Caenorhabditis elegans: one gene and its partners. The protein of the gene in region 1 binds, or shares a complex with, the protein of each later gene. Each region holds a gene or a part of one and is shown on either strand. Other genes may lie near its edges.

Region 1 (6,541 bases):
TTTCGCATGCATGTGCTTGCTTTTTCCCCCGTTTTTTTTTCGTTTCGTCTTTGCTTTTTTCTCTTCGTTTTCCTTATTCTCCAGAGCACATGCACACACGAAGTAACACAACAGAGACAGAGGCTCCGGGCGCCGAGCGCCGAGCCCATACACCGACCGGCGCCTGGAGAGCACAGAGAAGCCAGCCTGTTGCACTTCTTTTTTGCAGCTTCTGGCTCACAGAGCACATCGAACCTTATACTATTATTTCTACTGTACGATTTTTGAATTAAAAAAAATAAGTTTTGTAATTGAATTTTTTTTCCAAACTTCTATCTCGTTTTAATATTTTTAGGGTGTTAAAATATTCATTCTTACCAGAATATCCAACATGATTACTGGCAAGAACATGAGTCACAAGTGATTCCACGAATTCCCAAATGTTGTCCTGATACTCAGAAGTGATCTGAAAAAATTGAATTCATTCGGATACTATGAATCTTTATATTTTCAAAAAACTGTTTGCGCAAAAGTGAGCGATCTTATAACCATGTGTTTTTTTTTTGTATTTTGACGAAAAATTAGTTTTTGGAAAAAAATCCAAAAAAAACTATTCTACATTTTTCGCGGATATTCTTTAGCAACATGTGATGTTTATGGTTCTAGTGTTGTTTTTTTTAATTTGAAACTTTGAGACCCGAAGAACTCGGGGGATGTCCAATTGGGGGGATTAGCAACTCGGGGGATTGGCCCCGCCCACAGAACCGTGGCTTGCAATACGCCCATTTCTGCAACTGCCGCACGGTTTTAAAACTGTATTTTTCTCAATAGAGCGAGAATTAACAAGAAAAATAATTTTAAAACCGTGCGGCAGTTGCAAAAATGGGCGTATTGCAAGCCACGGTTCTGTGGGCGGGGCCAATCCCCCGAGTTGGTAATCCCCCCAGTTGGACATCCCTCGAGTTCTTCGGGTCTCGAAACTTTTGCTCAAGTTTTTGAGTTGTTACGGATTCAAAATAAATTAAAATCGACTTTCTTTCTGGTTTTCTTGTGTTTTCACTAATTTCAATTTCTCTTTCGGAGTTTTTTCACTAAACCTTTAAAATTTCAGTTTGTTTGTTTTTTTTAAATTTTCCTAGTCTTTTGGCAAAAAAATTTTGGAGAAATTCTACTAAATTCGAAACTTAATTACTTTTTTAAAAACAGAATTGACAGTGAGATCGAAATCCGAGTTTTGTCGGGTTAAGAAATATTCTTTTATATCTGAAAATGTAGAAACCAATGAAATACCTTTTCAATATCTTTTTCATTTACTAATCCAGCAATTGATGCAATAATATCAGCTGGAATCATCTAAAACGATAAATTTCAATCTGAAATGTTATAAATTTGAAATATGAATAAATATATTACAGAAATTATCAGAAATTCAATTTCGTAGATTGAACAACAACTATTTTAATACTTTATTCTCAATAATACGGGAGAAATTTGAAAAACAAGAGGAAAGTTGAAAAGAACATTGATAATGTCACTTCTTCAAAAAAAAATAACATCAACAAAATTATACAAGGTACGGGGAGAAATGGTGAGCAGTAATTAATCGAAAGCTTATTGAATTCGAAACGATTTTATCGGATTGGTAGACTGAAGAAAGTGGTTCTAAAGTGCATAGATGTCTAAAATGAAGCTACTTTACCTGTATTATACGAGATCCGGGTTTAGGGATAAGGGAAGGCTTAAAATGAAACAAAAATTTGAAAATAAAGAAGAATGAAAACAATTTTAATAAAAGAAAGTTATTTTTTGAATCCCTTCAAGATTGGATAAATCTGCCCGAATGCTTCGTCAATGTCCCTCTTTGTTTTTGCTCCAGTGATAACAACCTGAAAATTTAACATAGAAAAGGTTATTTCATAACTTAAACTCACTTTTCCAGACACAAAAATAAGGAGCACAACTCTTGGTTTGACCATACGATAAATTAATCCAGGGAACAATTCTGGTTCGTAAGTACTGAACTGAGAGTGAGTAATGCACAATCCTTCAAGTTGAATCGGAAAACGAACATCACAAGAACCAACCATGTTTTGAACCTACAAAAAAATTATTCAAATGATTTTGTGACCTTTTTCCAGAAACACTTACCATAAATTCGGTAAATTTCGCCTGAAATCCCAACTTTTGAACAATTCTCGCATATTTTCGTGCTGCCAATCGACTTGCTTCTTCTGACTTCGCACCAGTGCACACCATTTTTCCACTCGAAAAAATTAAAGCAGTTGTTCTTGGTTCACGAATTCTCATAATGACTGCTGCGAAACGTTTTGGATTGTATTCGGCGTTTCTCGCGTGCAATGCAATCTTCTTCAAATCCAATTGAACTCCCAAATTGACTGTAGAGACAATGTTCTGAAGAGCTGGCATCGGAATATCCAATTGACTTGCTGGAGTTGCTGGAACCATTGTGGCAGCGATGTTACTTGCCGGAGCCTGATGTGTCAGAGCATCTCGATCATATACAGAATATGCAAGTGGTGTCATTGGAACTGTCAAATTCTGATATGCAACTGATGGAGGATTGATGTCCAAATTGTGATGCATAACTGATCCAGGATTACGATCAGGTCCGACTGAAGCTGGATTTATGTTCAAGTTGAGATTGGAGTTGGCGAGATGTGAATGCATTTGCATTGAAGAACCTTGAAGGCCTGAAATAATATAAATCTTTAATTTTGACAAACGGCTTTAAGACTGAAAAAAGGTTATAAAGTTGAAAGACTGGTCACGGCTAAAATAAACGTGCACAGAGAGTTCATCAGATTTTTTCATAAATTTTTTAAACTGTACAATATTAAAATTTCGAAAAAAAAACGTATTAATTTCGCTTAAATCTGAAATTTCGCTAACTTTTCCTTGTCGCATCAGTTAGGATACAGTTTTTTTTAATTAGTGTATTTTATTGAACAATTTATAATTTTATAATTTAGTTGTTTATCTCGCTTCACATCGTCGATTCAGTCCCATTTATGATCGACATGCCAATTATGTTCATTTTTAGACGCCTAACGACATAAAAATTTGCCGAAATTAACGAAAAACTAACAAAATATTCTATAAAGGGTGATAATTCAAAAAATCTGTAATTCAGCTGCTGTGATAGAAGTCTCGGGATTCAGCAAAATTCTGATTTCTTGTTAATTTACTTTTTGTCATGCCATAAAAAATAGTGAAAATTTTATGAGCAGTCTCTTTAAAAAAAATTAGTTAATTTTGGGCTAGTTTTATCCTTTTCAAGCAAAAACCCTGAAATGAGTTTTCCACAAATAACTTACTGTGCATTTGTTGTGATTGCATTGGTTGAATTGATTGTGGATTGAGAACACTTCCAGGTCCAAGAATCGAGTTTGGTCCCATTACAGAGTTGGGACCGTGTCCCGTGAGAATTGATGAGGGTCCTTGACCTCCAAGTACGGAATTCGGTCCACCATGTGCAGGGGTGTCACCGCCAAGCATTGATACAGCTGGGCTGTTAAGGTTCATTGTGAACTGTAAAAATATTTTTAATCAAAAAAAGAAAAATGGATAAGAAATTGGAACAAGATATTTAATTTAAATATGATTTCAGTGAATAAAACACTGGAATAATTATTTTAAAAGAAAAACAACAGTACTATTTTGAAAATTTAAAATATAAAAACGAGAAAACGGAAAAACAACAACAAAAGTGGAACAACAATAACTGTAACAAAAAATCTGATTAAATTTTCCATAAAGTTGGAACATCGATGATTGGAACTTGTCTATCAAGAATTCCTTTCGGCGCTTCAGAGTTCACACCGACTGCTCTTGTGACTTTTTCTTCGTGTTTTGGAGCGAATTTCCCACCAAATCCTTTTCTACGAGCTTTCTTCGGTTCCGGCTTTCCTGTTCCCTCTTCGTCTTCATCCCCGTCTTGCAGTTTTCGATATTTTTCAGCTTCTCCATCCTCTCCGCCAAATGATTTTGCCATGTTTACAGAGAATAACTCGTCGGTGCATCGGAATCGAACGTAAGACTCAATTTTTTGAATCGATTTATCAACGAAATGAGCTCGTTTTCTGACACTTTGATTCCAGTGACATTGAAGAAGTTTCATCTCCCAAAGACTTGATTCCAATGCGCGAGTTTTGTGTAAATCTGTCTCATCATTGTCGAAAGGATCATCGTAAAGAGTCTGAGGAACCTCACGATGAACCAATTCAGAACAGTTTGGATGTCTAATCACAAGATTTCTAATTAATCCAAGAATTGGTTCCTGAGCATCAATTGGAGCAAGAAGAAGGCATCGGGAGAGTCGTTTGAGGAACGAAGCAGTGATGTATGTTGGGAGATGGCTGAAAAGGTATGATTCAGAATAAATTTTCTAGAATATTGCAACTCACGTAGACGACAGGAAACTATCCAGAAGTGTCAGAATGGATTCTTTCTGACTCATATAGAGAAGAGATGGGTTCGTCAATGAATATACTTTGTCGTAGAATTTCGGATATTCACTGAAATAAAGATTTATATGAATCTATTTCAAATAAAATCTCTTACAAGTTATGTTCTGAAATAAGACGAAAAATAGCACCAAGCGAAAGAATTCCATGATAGTCAGTTTTGTCGAACATTTTGAAAAAGAAATCAGCAGATTTGAATGGTGCTTTCAATTTCGAAATGACGTTCTGAGTGATATATGGAATAAGTTTCAGTGTCAACTTGTCACTAATTTTTCCATTCATAACAGCCATCCAAACGTTGTCATAGTCAGTTGAGATCCATGTCAGCTTTCGTTTTTTCATACTTTTATCGTTGAATGGAGTTCTGACACAAAACTGGCGAAATAATGGTTTCGTCACTCGATCAGTTGGGTGCGGGACGAATGAAAGAAAATTGAACAGGTTGAACCAGGCGGTGGTGCGAGTTTCTTTTAGGTGCTGAAAATGTGTGATTCGTATAAACAAATACAGATATTTTAACTCACCGTTATAGACTTCACAAGCTCCGGGGAGATTAAGTGGAAAATATCATATCTTCCAAAAATTTTAGCGATTCCTCTGAGAACTGGACGCTGAATTCGCTTCGTGCCAAACAAGTATTGAATGAAACCGGTTACAGTAAACTTTAGTGATTTTGTAGAAACAATATCTCCAGTTTTTGCGTCTTTTTCGAAAAACTTTATCGTTTTAAAGTATTTTATGATGTCATCCGGATATTCGCATTCTTGCAAAAATTTAGTGAATTCTGCAACAGACTTGCTTTTGGGTTCTTCCCTCTCCAACTCATAATTGACATCGACATTGTCAGGCGCTTCATCTTCTGAGCCATCATCCGAAAAATCAGCCTGAAAAGGTTTTGGTAAGATTTACATGAGATTTTGCTATTTCTTACATTCTGCTCCGCATCATCATGGAAAAATTGGTCCAAATCGTCGTCCATTGCCCTGAAATTATTTGATTAGCGACGATTGCTATAAAAATCAGAAAATTTAGACATTTTTGAGAAAAAAAAACGAAAAAGTATGAATCCTTGTGAAATGTCGTCAGGTGTCATGTTTGCGTACAAAGTAATGCTCGGTGTTCACGTACAATCGAATACCGTAGTTTATTGTTTTCGCTTCGGCGCGCCAAAAATAATGCAACACTTTTCCCAATTTTTCTTCTAGAATCGATACGAATCTGATGATAATTATCGAAATCTTTTCGTTATTTCTGTTTAAATTATAAATAATCATATTCAATCTCTGGTAATGAGTATATTGAATTCATGAATTCATATTGCAAGAAACCAGAACAAATTTCACCGAAAAGAGGGTTTATTTTCGTAATTAGTTTCGCTCGGAAAATCGATATTTTCTTTCAGTGTCGCTACATTCTGCTGGAGTATACTTTCTGAAGTCTCTTCTTTCGATTTCTTCCCTCTCTCTCTCGTTAACTAGACTTATTGACAAACAATTTTCAGAATGGCTGAGCTCCAATTCCCGGGAGTTTATGTTGAAGATGTAGGTCATTTGGCGTTCGGAACACTTAAATTGACTGAAAAATCACTCAACTTCAAAGGCGATAAGGGTGGAAAATCAGTTAATGTCACGGGATCCGATATCGATAAACTGAAATGGCAAAAACTTGGCAACAAGCCGGGACTACGAGTCGGTCTCAACGATGGAGGTGCTCACCGCTTCGGAGGATTCAAAGATACTGTTAGTTTTTTGTTCATTTCATTTTGATTTGTTTTTAGTTTCATTTAAAACACTCTTGCTTTCTTGCTGCTTTTCAAAAAACTTCAATCACAAACTTGAAATTTCAGGACCTCGAGAAAATCCAATCGTTCACTTCTTCTAATTGGTCTCAATCCATCGATCAATCAAATCTTTTCATCAAAGGATGGAACTACGGACAAGCCGAAGTAAAAGGCAAGACTGTTGAATTTTCATGGGAAGATAAGCCAATTTTCGAAATCCCGTGCACGAATGTATCGAATGTTATTGCAAACAAAAATGAGGCAGTTTTGGAGTTCCACCAAAATGATGATAGCAAAG
Region 2 (7,080 bases), on another chromosome or scaffold:
AAAAAAAACCTCTAAAAACGAAGAAAATTACTATTTTCAGTGGAAAAAACCCAAAAAAAAACCGAGAATTTTGCTTTTTCCAGAAGAAAATTGCTTAAAAATTGGATAAAACTGTTATTTTTAATCAATTTTCATCATTTTTTAGTGAAAACCTCTAAAAACGAAGAATATTGCTATTTTCTGTGGAAAAAACCCAAAAAATACGGAGAATTTTGCTTTTTTCAGAAGAAAATTGCTTAAAAATTGGATAAAACTGTTATTTTTAATCAATTTTCATCATTTTTTAGTGAAAACCTCTAAAAACGAAGAATATTGCTATTTTCTGTGGAAAAAACCCAAAAAATACGGAGAATTTTGCTTTTTTCAGAAGAAAATTGCTTAAAAATTGGATAAAACTGTTATTTTTAATCAATTTTCATCATTTTTTAGTGAAAACCTCTAAAAACGAAGAATATTGCTATTTTCTGTGGAAAAAACCCAAAAAATACGGAGAATTTTGCTTTTTTCAGAAGAAAATTGCTTAAAAATTGGATAAAACTGTTATTTTTAATCAATTTTCATCATTTTTTAGTGAAAACCTCTAAAAACGAAGAATATTGCTATTTTCTGTGGAAAAAACCCAAAAAATACGGAGAATTTTGCTTTTTTCAGAAGAAAATTGCTTAAAAATTGGATAAAACTGTTATTTTTAATCAATTTTCATCATTTTTTAGTGAAAACCTCTAAAAACGAAGAATATTGCTATTTTCTGTGGAAAAAACCCAAAAAATACGGAGAATTTTGCTTTTTTCAGAAGAAAATTGCTTAAAAATTGGATAAAACTGTTATTTTTATTCAATTTTCAACAATTTTCCGCTAAAATCACTCGCCCCTTTTACCACGCAAAACATGGTGATTGGCGGAACCCGCGAAGCCGTCCGCCGCTCAAATTGCGTATAAAAGGACGAATTTTCTATGGGTTTTCGCATATTTTTCATGATTTTTCCTAGTTTTTCGGTGGAAAATAGCTATTTTTAGGCGGAAAATTCCAATTTTTATTCAAATTTAGTCAATTGTAACCCATTTTTATTCCAGATTCGGCAAAAACGAGCGTTCGGCGTTGGCAGAATTCGAATATCTTCAGGATATGTCTACAGACGTCTCGGGGCTCCAATCAAGCCCTGAACTCGGACAATTGATGGGACAACTGCAGCAACAGAGGATGTAGAGCTGATTTTCAGTGGAAAATTCTAATTTTCTGTGAAAAAAATCGAGTTTTTTGGGTAAAAATTCATAGAAATCTGAATTTTTCCCCCAAAAATTGAATTTTTAGTCAATTTTTACCATGTTTAACCCTAATAAATCCCCATTTCCCCCCCCCCCCCCCCCCCCCCCCCCCCCATTTTCGTGTCAATTTTCGGGTAAAATTCCCATTTTTCGCTTGTATTTTTGCCCATTTTTCATTGTTTTTTCTCTCGAATTTTCTCAGATAATCAATCAATTTAATTGAATCTTTTTTTTTGTTGAAAAAATTGAATCATTTTCCATAATTTTGTCATTTTTTTCCCATAATTTGAAATGAATTTCTCACTTTCCTATTTTCGCTATTCTTTTCCGGTTTTTTCGGGGGGAAATCCTCGAAAAAGTGTAATTTTGCACTTGAATATTTTTTTTTTTAATAGTTTTTCTATTTTTTAGCTGAAAATTCAATTTTTAAACGTTTTTTCACATAAACCAACGTTTAACAGAAATTTTGTTTTAAAAATCGGTAAAAACCGAATAAAAAGTGAAAATTCGAAGAAAAATTTAGAAAAAAACAATTTTTATTCAAAAACTCTAATTTTGCTGTAAAAATTTGGAAAAAACTTATTTTCATCACATTTTTAGTCGCTAAATTCAATTTTCAGTCGAAAAATTGAATTTTCAAGCGAAATTTTGAATTTTCAGTCAGAAATTCTGCTAAAAATTGCAAATTTCATGAATTTTTCTTCAAAAATTTCATTTTTTAATGCCAAAATCCAATAAATTCCACAAAATCATAATTAAAATTCGAGTTTCAATTCCAAAAATTCTGAATTTTCCACAAAAAAAAGATTTTTTCCGCACTTGGTTGCTCACACTACAAACTACACAATTTTCTAGCCTCACTCAACTTTTGGTGAGGCTTAAAAAGTTGTAGTTTGTAGTGTCGGCCTCAACCAAATGCATTTTTCGAGCAATTTTAAGCCGAAAAGTCAGAAAAAACTCAACTTTTTGCCGAAAAACTTTGAAAAAATTAGATTTTCATAACATTTTTAGTCGAAAAATGAATTTTCCCGGTGAAAAATTAAATTTTTCAGCGAAATGATTGTAAATTTCATTTTTTTTCTTGAAAAGTCTAATTTTTATGCGAAAATCAATCAAATTTGAAGAAATAATAATTAAAATTCGAGTTTCATTCAAAAAACTGAGAACTTTCCCCAAAAAATTAGTTTTTCCGGAGTTGGTTGAGGCTCACACTACAAAAACTACAACATTTTCTAGCCTCGCCCAACCTTTGGTGAGGCTGAAAAAGTTGTAGTTTTTGTAGTGTGAGCCTCAACCAAATCCATTTTTCACTCAAAATCGAGCAATTTTGAGCAGAAAATCCATTTTTTCCGTGAAAAAATTTAAAAATTCGTGAATCATCAGGTTTTTAGAATTATTTTTAAAGTTATTATCGTAATTTTTTCCAATTTTCTACAAGTTTTTAGTCTCACCAAAAGTTGGTTGAGGCTAGAAAATGTTGTAGTTTGTAGTCTGTGCATTTTTTGGTGTTTTCTTCTTAATTTGCACAATTTTGATTCATTGTTTATTCGGAAAAATGGAAATTTTATCGATTTTCAAATTCAAATTAAATAAAAATTCAATTTTGAGACTAAATTAATGGTTTTTTTTTCGAATTTTTCAAAATTTCCGTTTTCTTTTTTTTCTCTGAAAATTTTCTAAAGAATATCAATAGACAGAACTCATGAATTTTCAAAATTCAAAATCTCTAAAACTCAAAATCGAGCAACTTTGAGCAGAAAATTCAGAAAATATTCAATTTTTTCGTGAAAATTTCTTGAAAAATTCGTGAATCTCCAGGTTTTTAAAATATTTTTCAAAATTTTTTATTGTAATTTTTTCCAGTAATGAACAATACACATCATCACACAAATGGGTATCGAACGGAAAAGCCAAAAAATGAAGAAGATCTAGAGGATCCTTACGCTAATCTCTCGGATTTCTACAAAAATCATCCGGCAGCACGGAATGAAGGTAGCGAAAATCGAAAAAAAAAACTTTGGAATTTCACTAATTTTTCATTTTTTTCATTTTTTCAGCATGTTCGTCAGCTTCTAATGGCGGCTCTAAAAGTGTGAAAATGGAGCCAAAAGTGGAAAAAAATGAAGAATTTGAAGAATATATTGGTGATCCTGTACGATTAGAAGATATGGAACCATTTGCAAGACCATCACTTCGAGATGATGCACCACTTTCATCTATTTTACATCCGGATCTTGATGGAATTGATCCGAGGTACTGAAAACCACAAATTTCTGTTGAAATTGACGTTTTTTACCGGAAATTTCCACGAAAAACTCAAAAATTCTATCAAAAATCACTGAAAATTGGGAAATTTGACAAAAAATTTCATTTCCTGCCGAATCCTGTAATGTGTAGTATGAGATGTGTGTGGTATAAAAATTGACAAATTTTAATTTAATAACATTAAAAAAAATTTCATTTTTCTCTAAAAACTTTATTTTTTTTTCCATTTTTACAAACTTTTTTATAAAATCACCCGAAAATTCGAATTTTCTTCGGAAAATCTATTTTAAAAACTCTGAAAATTGCTCGAAAATGACATTTTTTGAATAAAGTATTCCAAAAATGCTCAAAACGTGCTGTTTCTTCCAAAATTCCATAATTTTCTTTTAAAATTCCGCAAAATTTGCTTGCCCTTGAAATTGAAAACTGAAATTTTTTGAATTTCCCGCCAAAAGTCGATTTGGAAAGAGTTTTTGCTGGAAAAATCAAAAATTTCGACAAAAAATCGTAAAATGGGATTTTTTTTTCAAAATTTTTCGAAAAAAAATCGAGTAAAAGTGACGATTTTTTTTTCAATTTTTGTTGAATAAATCGAATATTCAGTAAAATTTTCATTTTTTTTTCTCGAAAAATTGATAGAAATTCTAATTTCGTTGGAAAAAACAAATTTTCACTTTTTTTAAGCATGAAAAGCGCCATTATTTCAAAAAATTGGCAAACATTTGCCGAAATTCGAATTTCGCGCAAAAATCGAATAAAAGTGACGATTTTTGTTGGAAAAATCGAATTTTCACTGAAATGTTGGGTTTTGTTTTATTCGAAAATTGAAAATTGAAATTCGAATTTTGCTCCAAAAGTCAGTTTTCCAATGAAGTTTCATAAAAACACACAAATACACAATTTTTAAGTCAAAAAACCCGAAAATTGGCAATTTCTGCAAAAATTCCTTTAAAAAACTCAAAAATTCACTCAAAAATCGTTGAAACCCGTGTCACTTTTCCCCGAAAAAACCCACAATTTTTCCACACAAACCCATGGTTTTCCTAGCCATCAGAAATCTCATGTAAAACTCGAAAATTTGCTTTAAAATTGTTAAACCTTTTTTTCGAGCCAAAAAAGCCAAAAAAAGCCTGAAAATTGGCCAATTTCTGCAAAAATTCCAAAAAAAATGGTTGAAACCCGTCATTTTTCCCCTGAAAACTGGTTTTTCTCGCCGAAAAACTCGAAATTTTGATGTAAAATTGCTAAAAACTGCTAATTTCTTCTAGAATTCCATAATTCTCTGTTAAAATTTCCAAAAAAATTCCGAAAATTCGCCAAAAATTCACGCAAATCACTGAAAACCCCCATTTTTCCGCAAAATCCTTTAATTTTATTTTCAGAATCTTCTTCAAAGACTTCAATCCAAACAAAACTCTTCGTTTCTCTCGACTTTTTGCTCAAAATATCAAACATACGTCCCGTGCCGAGATCTGGTGGGCTTCCCGAACCTTCTCCAAACATCAACGCAAAAAAGAGCCCGAAGAGCCCCTCGCTGATGACGTCATCGTTGGAGCCAAAAAGCTGAAGCTTAACATCATTGAGAAGGTGCCACGTGTCATGTTGGCTGACGATGAAGAAGAACGAATGCGGAGACCGATACTGACGGATGCAGAGGAAATGGCAAAGAAAAATGAAGAGGGTACGGTAGTTCAGCCGTGGAGAACGGGTCCCGCCAAGATTTGGTATGATATGATGAATTTGCCGATGACTAGTCAAGCTGTTAATTATGGATTCAAACTGAAGGTAAAAATAATGAAAATTTGCAGAAAATCGGCTGAAAATTGCTCAAAAAAATGGAATTTCCTTTGAAAAACTGACTTAAAAATGGCTGAAATTGGCTAAAAATGATCAAAATTAAAGTTTCCTGGTAAAAAATACACTGAAAATGGCTGAAAAATGGCTGAAATTCGCCAAAAATTGAAGTTTTCAATAAAAAAAACCCTAAAAATCGCACTAAAAATCTGAAAAAATTACCAAAAAAGCGCAAATTTGACACAGTTTGCTCAAAAAAATTTGGTTGAAGCTAGAAAATTTCGTAGTTTGTAGTATGAGCCTCAACCAAAATTGAGAATTTTAAATTGGTTGAGGCTAAAAAGTTGTAGTTTGTAGTATGAGCCTCAACCAAAATTGAGAATTTTAAATTGGTTGAGGCTAAAAAGTTGTAGTTTGTAGTGTGAGCCTCAACCAAAATTGAGAACTTTAAATTGGTTGAGGCTAGAAAATGTTGTAGTTTGTAGTGTGAGCCTCACCCAAAATTGGTTGAGGCTAGAAAATGTTGTAGTTTGTAGTGTGAGCCTCACCTTAAATTGGTTGAGGCTAAAAAAGTTGTAGTTTGTAGTGTGAGCCTCAACCAAAATTGGTTGAGGCTAGAAAATGTTGTAGTTTGTAGTGTGAGCCTCACTCAACAATATATTTTTAGTTGAAAAACGTGATTTTCAGTCAATTTTTGATAATTTTTAACTAAAAATTCCTGAAAAATATAATTTCCAGCTCAATTCCGACAATTTTCCGGTTATTTTCACGGCTTAAACAGCATTTCATGAGTTTTCAGACAATTTTCGGTCATCTTAGACAATTTCATCTCATTTTGTCAATTTTATAATCAAATTTTATCGTTTTCCACTAATTTCTATAGTTTTTTTTTGTAGAAAAATCGGAAAAAATTGCTGAATTCCTCAAAATTTCAAAAACTTCCTCTCGAAACTTTAATTTTCAATTAATTTTTTAACAATTTCAGAAATCTCCTCAAAAAGTATCAATTCGAAGTGGAAAACCGCTCAATTACCGTACCCCGGATGATCTACCATCCACGTCATCAGGCCCCGCCCCAAACTCCGCCCCTTTCTTGGATAAAGTGGAAGTAATTGATAAAAGTTGTGAAGCTTCAACATCAGAAGATATTCTATTACCATATCAAGTAATTGAATGGGAAAATGATGTGATATTAGATGGAGAAGAAGTTAAAGATCAACTTTTGGAAGAATTTTCGAATGGAAGAGGTTGTGGATGGATTCCCACACAGTATACGAGAACTTATGAGCATTTTGTATATGCTGGTATGGATGAAAATGTGAAAAAAAGTGCAAAATTCGTGAAAACGGCAAAATTTTGACCTAAGAATGTTAAAATTTGGATAAAATTACGAATTTTGGCCCAAAATCGCCAAATTTTGATGAAAATTTCAATTTTAGCATAGAAAATTGTGGAAAATAGTAATTTTGACTTGAAATTGGCAAATATTTGTCAAAATTGCCAAAACTTATGAAAAATGACCAATTTTGACCGAAAAATTGCTGAAATTCGTGAGAATTCATCAATTTTCTATTAAAATTGCCACAGTTCAAAAAAATATGCCAAAAATCTTTTAAAATGATCCATTTTGACTAAAAAATGCCGAAATTTTTGTAAAAATGTCAATTTTTGCAAAAAAATTGCCAAAACGCGTTGAAAATTCTCCAATTTGTAAAAAAAGAACAATTTCGACCCGAAATTATCAAAATTTGTACG
Region 3 (5,544 bases), on another chromosome or scaffold:
AAAGCCGTGTGTGTGTGGAAAATTAAACGTGAAAAATTAACAGAAAAAAAACAAACGAAAAAGAAACTAGGCAAATTAAATTTACAGCGAGTGAATGTACACATATACTACTTCACAAAAAAGTTATAACAAGGAGTTTAACGGTAAAATTTTTTAAAATTAAATTATTTAAACAATTGAAACGGCGACACTGGGACATCATCATGGGAATTCACTTTTTCGCAACAAAAGTGTCCTCTTCGTCCTCGTCGAAAACCTCTTGGCCTCCGTAGTGGTCGTAGTCTTCATCGTCGCCGAAATCCTCATCCATTTCATCGTCGTATCCCGAGTATTTGCGAGAAGAGCATCCCGAGATTCCGCGAGAGCGTTGCTTCTTGAGAGCCTTGCTTTGGCCGGCAGTCTTTTGCTTCTTTACAATCTCGTCTTGCGCTGAAAATTTGAGATTTTTGATAAAAAAAACTGTTAGTGTTTTGGAGGACATTTTCCCTATCGCGCGGCTTTTCGCAAGCCACCGCACGCTTTTTTTTTCGAACGAAAAAGCGAGCTGACTTTTTTTTAAAATTATCATTCTTTATCGCATATTTTGGTCGTTTATCCCAGAGTATTGCGTTAATTAAAGTATTTTTTAAGCCGATAGAAGCTCATTTTGGTCATTTTTAAATTTAAATGCACATTAATCAACGAAATAATGTGAGATAAACTATCAGAATGTGCAAACAAGGATGATAAATCGAACAAAGTCAATTTCCGAGCTTTGCAACTCGGAAAAGTTGTCAAAATTGGCCGAAATTTTGAACTTTTCATCACGAATTTCTTTCATTTGAGCTTGAGCTCCAGCACCCACACTTGGAACGGGGGACGGTTGCGATCGTGCCGGCGCCTCCATTGCTTCCGATGACTAGATTTGGTGGAGTTGTGGAGACCTGATCCTTCGCGGCCGCAGCCGCCGCCTTCTTCATCGAAGTCAGCGAGCTCGAGTCGATCGCAAAGCCGATTGGATCTTTCTTGGCCATTTCCTTCTCCGCCTGAACTTCTGGATCACTGTCATAGTCATCGTCGCGTGTGAATGGCATTGGCATTGTTGGGGGTGTTCTAGAGAAAAATGGGTTAAATAGAACTGAAAATTAAAACAAAGGAGAAGCATAAAATGGCAAAAAAGAGCCACTTGGATAATTGGTATATAGGAAAACGGCATAAATTCATAAAACAGGAAAATAAATGTAAAGCATTATAAAACCCATTGAGGAGTATCATGTTGGTATATTATAAATTAGGTGTGATATGGTGGACGAGTGTTCTGGTGTCCGTATTCTTTGAGAATTTCATCGAGAAGTTCCTCTGTGAGCGTGTATTTTGTGTCTTTCGTTCCTTTTTTCGTCTGTCCGAGACCTTTCATACGAGCCTGAAATTGTTCTTGTAAAAAAACTTGGATTTTCTTTTGCAAATTCTAAACCATACACTTGTCATCGCGTCAAGAATAATATCCGAAACATGTTTTTGAGCCGCCAGCGAGATCATTCTAGTCACTCGCGGATCCGATCCATCAACACCGGCAGACTTCAAGAAGTGCAATGTTACAGAATCGGGAATCGTCGGCGGATAGTCGGCGAGCTGATTGATGAACTCGTGTGTGTCGTCTTGCGATGGATTTTTCTGAACATTTTCCAGCGTTTTCTGCACAAATTGTTGCTGATTTCCGGTGAGAGGCTTGTGCAACGACGATCTGAAATTATTTGTTAATAATTTTTGTCTTGTCATAATGTCATTAACCCTGAACAAAAACAAACCTTAAATTTTGAACAGATGGCTCAAGAGTGGAGTAAACTTGTGGAGCTGCTGCTGGCCGCTGAAAATACTTTAAATCGGTTAATTTTAATCAATTAAATCGATAAAAAACCTGTGGAAGTGCGGGTGGAGGCATCAGGACGCTTTCTGTCGACGAAGAAGGCTCATATTGCTCTGGATCATTCATTTTTGCTGAAATTCGGGAAATTTTTGAATTTTTTTTAGGTTGAAAGATAATTTAAAGCGAGTATTTCGTTGAAAAGTTATTACTAATTTGTTTAAACATATCTTTACAATAAAAATTCGTATTTAAAAGCTCAAAAAGTTCCCCCAAAAACCAATGGCAGCGGCACGAGGGTTTAAACTTTAAAAAAGTCTCGTGGTGCGGCGCTCCGCCCACTTGCAATGTGCGGCGCGCGTTTTCGTAATGCGTGCGCACACAATTTTGGTGAACGCTTTCGTGGCCCTTTTCTGGTAATAAGAGGGCTAAATCAAACAGAATTGGGCGAACGCACGTTGAAAATTTTGATTAAAATTAATTCTTCAATTAATTTAGTTTTAAAAATTAAAGTTTAAAAAGTTTTTACTATTTAATTCCCGGTAATCATCGTTAATTCAAATGTTTCTAGACAACTTTAGCGGTTCAAAAATCAGAACATGAATATTTCATCAAATTCGTAAAGTAGCTGTAATACGCTCCCAAATTAATATTTCAGGGAAATTTTAGAAAAAAAGTCTGTATTATAGGGGCAGAGAGAAACTGTCCAAAAACGCTCCGCCCCCGAACCCGCGGGTCTCGTTAGGTATTCGGCGGCAAAACCGTAAATTCAAATTTTTTTGATTAGTTGCGTAAATTTCGCTAATTTTCAAGCATTTGCCGTTATTTTCAATGAATTATAATGTAAAAATTGATTTTAAAAAAAGCAAATGGTCAATTTCACGTGAATTTTCAAACATCGTTAATGTTTTGGCAGAAAATTCTTTAAAAACAACGAAAAATGCTTCAAAATTGCCAAAATCCCGAAAATAGTTGAAAAAGTTTGAAAAAACCGCTAAATACCTAACGAGACCCATGGTTCAGGGGCGGGGCGTTTTAAATTGGCCGTGGAGCGCGTTATCTCTTGTGATTTTCAGCGACCCAAAACTTTAGGTCTATACCACTCTGGCAGCGTATATCTCGGTTCATTTGGAAAGAATCAAAAAATTATTAACTAGAAAATTTTAGATTTTTAATTGATTAGAATTTTGATTTTTAGTGTACTTTCAATCAGGGGTGGGCGGCAAATTGTCGGTTTGCCGATTTGCCGGAAATGTTTGGTTCCGGCAATTTGCCAGCTTGCCGATTTGCCGGAAATTTTCATTTTTTGGCAAAGCGACCATTTGCCGTTTGCCGGATACCCATTTGGCGGAAGTGTTGAGAGGGATCTATTTTTAAATCGGCAAACCGGAAATTTTTGCAGATTTGCCGAATTTTCAAGAAAAACCACAATTTGCCGAAAATTTTCGGCAATTGCCGTTTTTCAGCAAATTCGGAAAATCGGCAATTTGCCGATTTGCCGGACATTTTTGAATCCGGCAATTTGCCGATTTGCGGGACATTTTCAAATCCGGGAATTTGCCGATTTGCCGGACATTTTCGATTCCGGGCATTTGCCGATTTGCCGGTCATTTTCAAATAAGACAATTTGCCGATTTGCCGGGCATTTTCAAATACGGCAATTTGCCGATTTGCCGGACATTTTCGAATCCGGCAATTTGCCGATTTGCCGGAAAAATCTTTTGCCGCCCATCCCTGCTTTCAATGCAAATTATCAATTTTCGAAAAAAAAATTCAAAATAAAAGTGCAGTGACGTCAAACAATTCTCTTGCAACTATAATTATATTTCGAGAATTGGTGCAAAAGCTGTCATTTTCATGATTCTGCGATCTAGCAGGACTATAAGTATACTTGCGTCATGCCTCAGCTCTGCAAATTGGTGTCAGGCTGTCCCATTATACTTTGATCTACAAAAAATGCGGGAACATTTCTCCCAAAAAAAAATTTGACGACAGCACGTTCTTAATCGTGCGAAATCAGTTGAGATCTCCGTGTCTTGACTCCCGCATTTTTTGTAGATCTACATAGATCAAACAGAAATGAGACAATCTGTCACAACGTGCAATTAGGGAAAAAAAGGAACTCTGATGTCTAACACAAAATCACTTTATTCAAAATTAAAACTGGAAAATTAGTATCATGAAGGATGAGATTATCATATCTGCAAGAGTATCTGAGTCGAGATGGACGTGTGGGAATTAATCATTGGGATAAACCGGGTCAAGTCTTTCTGCAGGAATTTCTAATTTTCAGCATCCATCTGTGCATCCGTATCGATCTGTAAACAAATCACATTGTTCCAGTCTTTCACATTCTATAAACGCACTAGTTTATCCCACATTCCCTGATAGTCATTTTGAGGAAGACTACGGTACATGCGACGTGGAAGAAGACGAGATCCACCGATCCGAGACCTGGAATATTGTGGTGAACGGACGTTGGGCAACGGCTTAAACCATGCGGCGCTGCGATCGATGCGTGATTGGGCTGATGTGACATCTGAAAAGTGGAGTTTTGAATTGGGACATTGTTTGGCGTTTAGAGCTTTGATTTCATTTTAGAGAGCCAACTTTGGCTAAGTACACCCAGTTCCCGATATTATTATTATTACATAGACGTCTTAACATGAGACTTTCCCCCATATCTTACTCCCTTGGGTCTCGCCACGCAGACTATGCATTACTGTATCTGGTGTTGATTTTTGGGCCGCTATTGTTTTATTTTCTTCAAACTGATATGGTTCTCAGGTTTCGACGCGAGCGAAAAGTTTTGCACAAAATTTTAGACTTAGGCTTAGGATTAGGCTCGGGCTTAGGCTTAGGCTCAGGCTTAGGCTTAGATTTAGACTCAGATCTAAACTTAGGCTTAGGCTTCTGCTTAGGCTTATGCTTATCCCCCAAAGTTTAGGCCTAGGCTTAGGATTAGGCTTAGGCTTAGGCTTTGACTTAGGCTTAGGCTCAGGCTTAGGGTGTGCGCTTTTATGGATTACTATCGCTTGCCACATTCTGCGATTTTGCGTGTTTTTTCTATTATATGTGGATTATAATCGGAGTGTAAGTAAAATATATTTTAGGACGCTACAGTACTCATTAAAGGCGCACACTCTTGTGTGCCAAATAATTTGGTGTCGAGACCTGTTACTGTATCACTTAAAGTCGCATTCTCTTTTCCAAACAGTTCCGATCATTTCTCAGATCGCAATTTCCGAAAAAAAACTCACCGAAAGTAGCGAGGAGCACGGCGACGAGAAGAAGAGCAGCAGCGAGGAAGCGCATTTTTGTCAACCACAAGAATTGAGTGAGAAACGAGTGATTCTGAAGAGTATTTAAACTGAACTGCTGGGGTGTACAAGCTCTTGGGAGCACACGCACGTGAGCCAATTAGCGATAAGACTGTCTGGGGCGACGGAAAATAGGATGAGTCAAGGAAGTAGGAAAACGAGAGAAATGGAGGAACATTGTATAATGGCTTGGGAAATGAAACGTGTGTGGGTGACAGTGGTGGTGGTGGTACAGCTAATGAGATTGTTGTTGTTCGCTTTGCCGAGTGTTTCAGAAATCCTTTTTTTTTTTTTTGAAAAAAATGGAAATGGACGCATCCGGTCTATTAGTCAAACGTCAACAATGCTCTTTTATAAATTTAGAATTCTAAAAAAAGAAAA
Region 4 (10,025 bases), on another chromosome or scaffold:
GAACAACGACGACAAGTTTGGCTGCTGCATGTAGTTCGTCGCCTGGAACCCTGGTGGTGGTCCAACATTCGACGCCTGCTGTGGCTGCTGATCCCGAGAGCTTTGAGATCCGAACTTATTGAAGTCCATAAGTCCATGAGTCTCTCGTTGTTGACCAGATTGCACTTGTTGCGCAGAAGCAGCCTGTGACAGAGGAGCAGTTGGAAGCAAGCTTGTAAGATCAACTCCCATTCCGTATTGCATAAGAGCAGCAGTATATTGCTCATCTCGAACTCCTGGCATTGGATTGTACATGTTCATGTAGTTGTTCATGTATGGTGCATATGGGAGTTGTTGAGTGAACATCATATGTGGATGCTGTTGTGGATGTCCAGTCGGTTGTGATTGAGCTGGTGGAGTTTGTTGCTGCTGCTGCACTGGCTGTTGTGGGGCTTGTTGCTGCTGCTGCTGTGGCTGGTGCTGCTGAGCAGATTGCTGTGTTGGAAGTGGTCCAGAATTGTTGAACTTGTTCGGCGCCATCCTGTCCGTTGGTTGATATGAAGCGGACGAAGTGTCATAGGACAATCCTCTGTTAGATTGACCATATGACAATGGAGGTGAAGTCGATTTTAAGTTGTAATCGCCGTTAGGAATTGACGTCCTTTCTGGCTGAAAAATAATCGAGAATTAGAATAAATCGTCTTTGCAACAAATTTAACTCACCTCAACTTGTTTCGGCATAATACGAGAAGAGTTAAATATATTTTCACTGGCATTTGAGATCGAGGCAGCGGAGGATTCAGTAGAAGGAAGCTGTGGGCTTGGAGCAGCCTCAACAAATCCAAATGAGTAGTCATGAATGTTCGTTGGTGCAGTTGTGCCAACAAATTCCACTCCAGGATCAGGAATAATCTGGACTGGTGCTGCACTTGGAATTGGAGATAATCCTAGTCCTGGTGCTTCACTCAATCCTATTCCAAGATCCGTCTTCAGTTGAGTGGTCCATGCTTGATTTGGTTCTGGGGTGCTTTGTACATTTTCATCGTGATGAGTCGACACATTAGGCGTCTGCTCCTCAGCCAAAACTGATGATTCACTGAAAATTAAATTTTTAATAATCTAAATACAGGGACAGAACAACTTACTTTTGGAAGAAACCATCTTCTTTCTCCGGCTGATGCGAAGTTTCTGGCTCGAAAAATACTGGCGCTGCTGCTGGCTCTTCTTTAACTGGTGCAACTGACGGAAGTGGAGGTTGTGGGGAGAGACTCCTCCTTGGCGGAGCTGCTGGTTGAGGATTCTGTGCCTGGTGCTTTCGGAGTGCTTCTTTGCGATGGGCAGCTGCTGCTACTGCAGCAAATGAGATCGGTGCCGGCGCAGAAGATGTGGGAACAGTGGCGGTGACGGATTCCTCTACTGGTGGTTGAACTTCGGTGACTGTGGTATCCACTTTAGTCTGATTCTGAAAAAAAAACACGTTTCGTCATTTTCCTTCTTCAAAAAATTCTTACCTCATCAAGATCAGCAGTGAACGCATCTGGCTCAAGTGCTGATGATGGAGCAACAGCTCGAGAATATCCACCTCTGGCGCCACCTCTTCCACCTCGTCCAACATACGGTTTTTCAAATCCTCCTCGAGTCGAGCGTGGTGCTGCTCCTTCCTTATTATCACGGTTATCCCGATTATTATCTCGGCTTTCTCTTGGAGCTCCATTGGATCGCCCGCGGCCTCCTCGATCGACGAAACCGGTGCCTCCACCTGAAAAAAACATATCAATATTTGATCTATTTCAATCAAGCACGAACCTCTGCCTCTTGCTACAAATCCTCTGTTGTTATAACTGCCCTCTTCCGGCTTCTTCTTTTCCTTTTTGGCTCCTTTCTGTTCAGTCCACGAGTCAAGTTTATCTCCAGCATCCAGAATGTGATCGATTGCGCCGTAAAGATTGTTGTCAGTATCCAATAGCGCTATCTCAGCTTGTGCTTGTGTACATCCGGTGGTTTCGATAATCTGAAAATGAAAAAGACATGAGCAGTGAAAAAACCCCTCTTGGGAATGCGCGAACACTTTAATTAGCCCAAATGAGTAGGACATCTGGGTACTCTTACTCTCGCTGCACCATCTCAAGCGCGGACACCTGCTTTTGTCCTTTTATTTGCCATCTGGCCCCGTCTTATCGATTCGAAATTCCTATTGACACTGAAAGCGGACACTAGAGAAGTTCAAAACAACAAAGTCACGTGCGTCATCATGTCGGTGTGTGGCGAGCGTTCGCGTGATGCAAAGATCACTATTTTCAGGAAAGCGTCATTTCCAGCTTGGAGACTTACCGTCTTGATCATAAACTGTATGTCCTCCTCATTTCCGGAATTTCCTTCCAGTGTGAGTCGTGCAAGTCGCGCTTGATCGCTGGTAGCTTTTTTGTCGCCTTTAATACCCATTCTGAAAACAAATTATAAATAAAAAGGGTCAGTCATGTGAACGCAAGAATGGAATGAGAATCACGAGAATACAACTATCAAAGGAAGGTTGAATGAAAGGAAGGTCAAATAGATGACAAAAGTAGGAAAAGAACGAAATATGGAACCTTCCAGATCAAAAAAACATTATCAAAAGAAAAGCCTCGCACAGAAGACTCTAACGAACATGTTAGGATGAAGAAATATTTCAGCAATACATCACGTTGAACTTTGGAGGATATTCTAGAGAAGAAAACCCCTACATTTTACAATAATTTTGAAATGGAATTCGAATGAACTGCTATACAATGGAGAATCCTATTTAGCGATGATAAAGTGTAGGCTTGTTACTAGATTGAATAAAAATTTCGAAATGTAACAATACATTGACTGAAAATTTGGGTATTTCAGAGTGTGATATCACAAAAATCAATATTTCCACTAAACTCAAAAGTTCTTACGCTGAAAAATCATTAAAAAATTGAAAAATCACCGCAAGCTAGACTAGAATCGCGTTCAAATCTCGCAAATTCCCGCAGTTGAAAATGCGGGCGACCGCGACGCGAGCCGCAACGCACCCCTCCAAACATGCGGCATGGGTCTCGCCACGACCGAAAGTACGGTCACTCTTGGCAGTATAAAAGGCGACCATTTTCCGCTATTTTCCGGTAAATTTTCAAATGAAACTGTGTTGCGGAGGGGGTTTTCCGCTAATTTTGCGGAAATTTAGCTATTTAATGTGAAAATGTGAATAAAACAAAAGAAAGTGGGGAGGAATAGCAAGGAAACACACTGTTGAACCCTGGGAATTATCGATTTTGTATGAACTCTTCTTTTATGGCGTCGAAATTATCGACACGAAAACTCAAAACCTTGTCACATTTCTGAGAGAGAAATATCATTTTCAGCACACATGAGTCTTCCCAGATTTCGACTCGTTCAGGGAAAGGCGATCGGCGAGCGATCAACGCCAGGAGTCAGCACACCAGAGCCGGTAATTGTTTTTTTTTATTTCAAAATTTCTACAACAACAAAAAGAACTAACAATAATTTATTCCTTTGATTCCAGGCCCCTCCGCAAATAAAGCAGGAAGTCGACTACCAAGATGCTCATCAAATGGCTCCGGAACCCGTGGAAGCACCCCGTAAATATTTAAAAATTTAAAAAAGTTAGAAAAAAAATTTGAATCCCAATTTTCAGAGGCTCAAAACCATCAAATGCAGCCGCCTCGTCAACCTATACAACAGCAGATGCAGCATTTTCAGTCACCATCGCCAATGGCTCCACAAGGGCCGCCCGGGACTCCACAAAACTCTGCAGCGGCGGCCGCCGCTGCTTCAGATGACAAAAACGTGACAAAATGCGTCCGCTTTCTGAAAACTTTAATTAATCTGTCGAATAACGATGATCCAGAAATGCCGGACAAGGCCGCCCGTGTCAAAGAGCTAATTCGAGTGAGGAATTGAGCGAAAAACGCGATAAAAACCGGACAAATTCGGATATTTCAGGGCGTAATTTATCTGGAAACGACGGCTGAAGAGTTTACACGAAATCTGCAACAAGTGCTCAAATCTCAGGCTCAACCGCATCTTTTACCATTCCTTCAGAATACTCTTCCGGCATTGAGGAATGCTGTTCGAAATGGTTCGGTTTTATGTGCAAAAAAATTAAAATCGACAAAAAAAAAATCATCGAAAAACAGGAAAATTTGAGTTGAAAAGCAGCGAAAAACTTGAATTTAACATAAAAAATTGCAAAAAATCCGTTGAATTACATTTTTCAAGAAATTGTGTAGAAATTCCATGAAAAAAATTCAAAATTTCCAAATTTTTTGGCTATTTCTAGTCAATTTCTTTAAAATTCCATTTTTGATAGCGAAAATTATCAAGTTTCTAACAATTTCAAGCTGTTTTTGGTGATTTTTTCAATTTTTCGGCTTTGAAATTCCATTTTCCGGAGTATATTGTCATAATATATCCGAGTTCCACAAAATTGAGCAAAAAAAATTAAAAATTTCCCTTTATTTAAAAATATTTTCAGCTGTCAGTAATATATGGATTTTCCGCAATTTTTCTCACAATTTTGAGCAAATTCCTGATTTTCAGCCAATTTATAAGGATTTTCACCCATTTTCATAATTTAGGGCTATTTTCAGCTGAAAAATTGTAATTTAAAGTTTTTAAAATTTTTATAGATTTTCTCAAATTTCAGCTCAAAAATTCGATTTTCAAGCGCATTTCCAGGCAATTTATTAAGATTTTCACCAATTTTTTTAGCTTAAAATTTAAAATTTCCACATTTTTTGTCTATTTCCAGTAAATTTCTTTAAAATTCTATTTTTGAAAGCAAAAATTATCAAGTTTATCGCACTTTTTCAATTTTTCCGGAGTATATTTTGGTAATTTATCCGAGTTCCACGAAATTGAGCAAAACAATTATTTAAAAACTTCCCTTTATTTAGAGCTATTTCCGCAAATTTTCTCGCAATTTTCACGCAATTTTCATAATTCAGGGCTATTTTCAGCTGAAAAATTGCAATTTAAAGTTTTTAAAATGTTTATAGATTTTCTCAACATTCAGCTCAAAAATTCGATTTTGAGGCGCATTTCCAGGCAATTTATGAGGATTTTTACCTATTTTCTAGATTAAAAATCTTTTTTTTTCCTCAATTTTGGACTATTTTCCCTAATTTTCAAATTTCCAGGCACTGCATCAGTTGAAGGCGTAAATCCACCGCCTGGCTACGTTTTCAACAATGGAAGAACCCCAGGACCCCCTCAGCCACCTCCACCTCAACAACAATCCCAGCAGCAGCCACCACTAGAAATGCGTCAAATTCCGAATCCGAATCAAATACCCCCACAAATGGTTCAAGGGGGTCCCCATATGGTATCTGTAGGCGCCCGGCCAATGATCAGGCCTATGGGCCCCGGCGGCCCAAGCCCAATGGGCCTACAAGGCCCCGTACGAGGGCCGATGGGACATCAGATGGTCCAGATGCATCCTCCTCCCCCACCACAGCAGATTCAACAGCAGCACCCGGCTCCCCCTGTAGAAATGGAGGTGGAAGAGAATTTACAGCCTACCGCGGCGGCCACGGCCACGAGGCAATATCCTGAAGGATCGCTGAAATCGTCGATTCTGAAGCCGGATGAGGTGCTGAATAGGATCACGAAACGAATGATGTCATCGTGTTCGGTGGAAGAGGAGGCGCTTGTCGCGATTTCAGATGCTGTTGAGTCGCATTTAAGGGAACTTATTACACTGATGGCCGGAGTTGCAGAACATCGGGTGGAGAGTTTGAGGTATTGAGGAGAATTGATTTTGCTTCAAAATACGGCAGCGAAAAAAAAATTAAGCAAAAATAAGGAAATTATTGAAGAAAAATCGTCTTAAAAACAATTTTACATTAAAAAAAAAGATTTTTAAATTTCAAAGGTTCCGAACTATTTATTAAAAAAACATCTAGATTTTGTTTTAAAATCCAAACAAAAAACATTGCTGAAACGCGGTAATTTTTTTTCAAAAAAATATAAAAATCTGAGAAATATTTTCAAAAATATCTCCAATTTTCCCCTGATTCCGAATATCTATTCGAAAAAATTCAAAAAAAAAATTTCCCTTTATATTTCAGCTTGAAATCGCTTTGTGCATGCACACCATGAGATTTTTCAAATGCGCGCCCAGATAAATTCTCATTGGGGCGCACTTGCTTCGTGTCGATTTACGGGAGCTCTTCATTTTTAAATTTCTTTTAAGCTTTTTTTTTCAGTTTTTCAACGAGTTTCCTTGATCTTCGTCGATTTTTTGTCATTTTTTTTCCTGAAATTTTGTTTTGTGTCAATTTGAAAATTTTTTAGGTCAAAACTCCTGTGTTCGTCGAGATCTGACGTAAAAATATAAAATTCCGGGAGTTTTGAGATATAAAAAAAATATTTTAAAAATTTCAGAAAAAAAACTGACAAAAAAGCGACAAAATAAAAGAAACGCGCAAAAAAAAAAAAAAAAAACTTAAAAAAGCACGAATAAATTTTTTTAAAAAATGGAGAGCTGCCGTAAATCGACACGAAGCAAGCATAAAAAAATGGCTTTTTTCCTAACAATTTTTTGTGAAAAATCCGAATTTTCCATCCTAAACACTACAAAAGATTCCAGAATTCCGGAGAACTACGTGGCAATTGATGACGTCAAACGGCAACTTCGATTCCTTGAAGATTTGGATCGTCAAGAGGAAGAATTAAGGGAAAGTCGAGAAAAAGAGTCGCTAATTCGAATGAGCAAGAATAAGAATAGTGGAAAAGAGACGATTGAAAAAGCGAAAGAAATGCAACGACAAGATGCTGAAGCGAAAAGGAATCGAGATGCGAATGCGGCTGCAATTGCAGCACTTTCCAGTAATAAAACTGTCAAGAATAAGTTCGTTTTTAGCGTGAAATTTGCAGAAAAATTATTTTTAAAAAATAGATTTAAAAAAAACAATTTCCTGACCAAGGGTGTCATTTTTCGATTTTTCGGTTTTCAAAAATTCGAAAAATGAAAGTTTCGTTTTTCGATTAAAAAACTGAAAAACCGACACCTTTGTTTCTGAGATTTGGATTTAGAAATAAGCAAAAAAAAATTATTCAGAAAAAATTGTTTTACAATGCTGCAAAATCGATGAAAAAATAAAATAAATCAATAACTAATTTCTAAAAAATGGAAAAAAATTTCGTTTTTTTCGAATTTGTATTTCACAAAAAAAAATTTTTAGAATAAAAATTTTCAATTAAAAAATTACTATTTAAAATCACTGAAAAAAAATGAAAAAAATAGAAAATTCAGAAAAATAGCGAAAAAAAAGTTTTTTTCCAGAAATTTCGTTAAAACGATCAAGATTTTAACCCTAAAATTTAGATAAAATCAATTTCTTGTGGTTCTTAATTTAAAAAAAAAAACAGTACTTTCCAGTAATAAAACTTTCAAGAATAAATTCGTTTTTAGTGCGAAATTCGCAAAAAAAATTACGAAAAAGTGAAAATAGAAGCTGAAAGGAAAAATGTTTAAAAAATAAGAATATTTTCGACATTAATTGGTTTTTATATATATTTTTTTGTAGAAGTTTAAAAAAATTACTAAAATCACTGAAAAAATTGAAAAAAATTTTAAAATCTGGAAAAAAAGCAACAAAAAATTAATTTTTCCAGAAATTTCGTTGAACTATTCGGTATTTTAAGCCTAAAATCAAGATACAATCAATTTGAACAAAATTTGCTTTAAAAATACTAAAAATTCGAAAGAAATAGAAAAAAAAAGAAATTTTCGAAATTTGGATTTATTGTTAGAGAAAAGCTGAACACTTACAAAAAATTAATTTTTTACGTTTTGAGAAAAATTTTTGAAAAAAAAAATCGATTTTTAAATAATTTTTAGAATTTTTTAGAACTATAATTTTTGAATTTCAGTGACTTATAATCACAGAAAAAAATGAACGAAAAACAAATGAACATCTTTTCGGCAAAAAAACGTATTTTAAAAAAAAATTTAAATTTCTAGTGACTTTGAAAAAAAAACCACATTTTCCAATAATTTCCAGGAATAAACTAAATTTCTTTGGAGAAATTTGAAATTTATTTCACATTTCGAAAAAATTTATATAGAAATAAAAATTTATATGAAAATAAAAAATTTGCAGCTCCTTCCAGTAATGAAACTGTCATTTGTTGAAAATTAGTTTTTTTTTAATTTAGAAATTCTCTTTTCGAAAAAAAAGGTTTTTTTAAAACTTGATTAAAAATTAATTCATTTTTTTCCAAAATTAGGGAAAAAATAATTTCTAAAAAATTAGACAAATACACTTTTTTGTTGAAAAAAACAACATTTTCCAATAATTTTCTTTTTTTTTAAATTGCTTCCACTAAATTCACTTTTTGAAGAAATTTTTTGAAATTTTTACTGAAAATTGTTGGAAAATTATTAAATGTGCATTTTTTTGCAATTTCCAGTTGATAAACTAATTTCGGTTCAATTTAAAATAAATTTCGAAAACCAATTTCAAAAAATTCATTTTTTACAATTTGTTTTTGTTGATAAAACGAGCTAGTTTCTACCAAAATACCGCTTTTTTACATTGAAAATTTAAATTTCAGATGGGAAAACACGGGCGCCGCAACGACAGCACCTCGTCCACGAACAGTACGTGTAACAACTCGTGATCTACATCTTTTAGTCAATCAGGATAGCCGATTCACAGGGTAGCGATTTTTTTTGTTTAAAAAATTTTTTTAAAAAACACCGTATTAAACATTGATTTTTATTGGAAAAAACTGATTTAAAAATTTTTCAAAAAACTTTCAAACGAATGGTAGTTTTTAATATTTTAATTTTAAAAAATTCCAATAAAAATCAATTTTTATACGATTTAAAAAAATTTTGAAAAGTTATCCAATTTTCTCCTAAAAAAACTCATTTTTTTTCCAGAACATTCATCCGTGAAAAGATGTCATACGGTGGTCCGGCAGTCGATACAACTATCTGAACTAAAGAAATCTCATGGAAAAAGGAGCGAAAATTCTGCTTTTCTCGTTTTCTTTTTTTAAATTTAATTTTATTTTTCCACAAATTAAAACAATCACTTTTTTCCAGTCAAATAATAATTATTTCTCATTTTTAAACGAAATGCTAGACATAAAAAAAAGCTTCTTTTTCAGCTTTTCAGCCAAAAATTTCAGATTTTTCAGAAAAAATTCAACAACAAAAAATTGGCAAAGTGCAAAAAAACCAGAATTAGATATTAAAAATACAGGAAAAATCGAGAAAAATGAGTTACAATTCAGAAAATTAGGCAATTTTTTTTTCAAAATTTCTCAAAAACACTGAAATTTCGGTATTTTTTTCTCTACTTGAGCACAACCTCGTGTTGCACCAATCGAACATAGTCTTTGAGCGTCGGTGGAAGTGGAAGCTCATCGATTATTCGCTGATAGACACCGTCGGCACCGGCGATTTCCAGATTTCTACGTTGGCGAAGGTGGATGGCGCGCTGGAAAAATTTCTAATTTCGAGCTGAAAACTCTTTTATGAAAGCAAAATTTCATAGTTTCAATTCAAAGTTCGAATTCCTCGCAAAATTTCAGTCGGAAAACCGAAAACTAGAAGTTTCTTGCTCGAATTTGAAATTTCGAGGGGTACGGTATCCTCGAAAGTACGCAAACACCGAATTTTGTTTTTTTGAAGTTTTGGCGCCAAAAATACAATACCCGGGGTCTCGACACGACAAATTTTTAAAATTTTTTTGAGTACTGTAATTTCAAACAAAAAGTTTTTTTTCGAATAAACTCGAATAATACGATAAAAAACATATTTTAATAAAAACCGTGGCAACGAAAGTTTGAAAGTACAGTACTCTCTTCAAAGGCGCACACCTTTTACGCATTTAACTTTCGTGGCGAGACCCCGGGGATACCGTAATTTTTGACTCAAAATTTAAACAATAAATCCGTTAAAATATTAAAAAATTTTTAGATATTTTTCAAAAAGACTGTCGAAAAATTGTTTTTTTATAATTTTTAGAATATTAACAAACAGTTTAAAAATTCCAACAAATTTT

Evidence for each region.
Region 2: tbp-1 (region 1) and taf-1 share a complex: the UniProt entries of both Caenorhabditis elegans proteins name them as parts of the TFIID basal transcription factor complex.
Region 3: tbp-1 (region 1) and taf-10 share a complex: the UniProt entries of both Caenorhabditis elegans proteins name them as parts of the TFIID basal transcription factor complex.
Region 4: tbp-1 (region 1) and taf-4 share a complex: the UniProt entries of both Caenorhabditis elegans proteins name them as parts of the TFIID basal transcription factor complex.

What each region holds. Positions count from the first base shown.
Region 1 is NC_003281.10:7,381,020-7,387,560, reverse strand, and holds tbp-1 (TATA-box-binding protein), read right to left. Parts: upstream 3,529-6,541; 5' UTR 3,523-3,528; coding exon 3,315-3,522; intron 2,691-3,314; coding exon 2,128-2,690; intron 2,076-2,127; coding exon 1,911-2,075; intron 1,866-1,910; coding exon 1,779-1,865; 3' UTR 1,437-1,778; downstream 1-1,436. Other genes in the region: Tetratricopeptide repeat-containing protein trd-1, read right to left, coding at 358-445, 1,270-1,332; T20B12.3 (nucleolar complex associated 4), read right to left, coding at 3,740-4,355, 4,404-4,514, 4,561-4,940, 4,988-5,347, 5,395-5,442; hmg-4 (FACT complex subunit SSRP1-A), read left to right, coding at 5,966-6,202, 6,310-6,541. UniProt on the Caenorhabditis elegans protein: The TFIID basal transcription factor complex plays a major role in the initiation of RNA polymerase II (Pol II)-dependent transcription.
Region 2 is NC_003279.8:13,858,345-13,865,424, forward strand, and holds the start of taf-1 (Transcription initiation factor TFIID subunit 1), read left to right. Parts: upstream 1-3,129; 5' UTR 3,130-3,131; coding exon 3,132-3,258; intron 3,259-3,323; coding exon 3,324-3,519; intron 3,520-4,913; coding exon 4,914-5,316; intron 5,317-6,310; coding exon 6,311-6,629; intron 6,630-7,080. Other genes in the region: W04A8.6 (ANK_REP_REGION domain-containing protein), read left to right, coding at 1,075-1,207. UniProt on the Caenorhabditis elegans protein: The TFIID basal transcription factor complex plays a major role in the initiation of RNA polymerase II (Pol II)-dependent transcription.
Region 3 is NC_003283.11:4,683,542-4,689,085, reverse strand, and holds taf-10 (Transcription initiation factor TFIID subunit 10), read right to left. Parts: upstream 1,984-5,544; 5' UTR 1,973-1,983; coding exon 1,898-1,972; intron 1,856-1,897; coding exon 1,788-1,855; intron 1,724-1,787; coding exon 1,459-1,723; intron 1,403-1,458; coding exon 1,271-1,402; 3' UTR 1,187-1,270; downstream 1-1,186. Other genes in the region: K03B4.2 (HUN domain-containing protein), read right to left, coding at 212-429, 845-1,079; nssp-51 (Neuropeptide-Like Protein), read right to left, coding at 4,126-4,161, 4,210-4,382, 5,104-5,158. UniProt on the Caenorhabditis elegans protein: The TFIID basal transcription factor complex plays a major role in the initiation of RNA polymerase II (Pol II)-dependent transcription.
Region 4 is NC_003279.8:379,481-389,505, forward strand, and holds taf-4 (Transcription initiation factor TFIID subunit 4), read left to right. Parts: upstream 1-3,345; 5' UTR 3,346-3,352; coding exon 3,353-3,433; intron 3,434-3,508; coding exon 3,509-3,584; intron 3,585-3,640; coding exon 3,641-3,894; intron 3,895-3,948; coding exon 3,949-4,084; intron 4,085-5,144; coding exon 5,145-5,745; intron 5,746-6,595; coding exon 6,596-6,856; intron 6,857-8,565; coding exon 8,566-8,670; intron 8,671-8,896; coding exon 8,897-8,954; 3' UTR 8,955-9,084; downstream 9,085-10,025. Other genes in the region: Prion-like (glutamine/asparagine-rich) domain bearing protein pqn-59, read right to left, coding at 1-648, 703-1,075, 1,125-1,441, 1,491-1,738, 1,786-1,990, 2,311-2,421; R119.5 (Protein-L-isoaspartate O-methyltransferase domain-containing protein 1), read right to left, coding at 9,315-9,458. UniProt on the Caenorhabditis elegans protein: The TFIID basal transcription factor complex plays a major role in the initiation of RNA polymerase II (Pol II)-dependent transcription.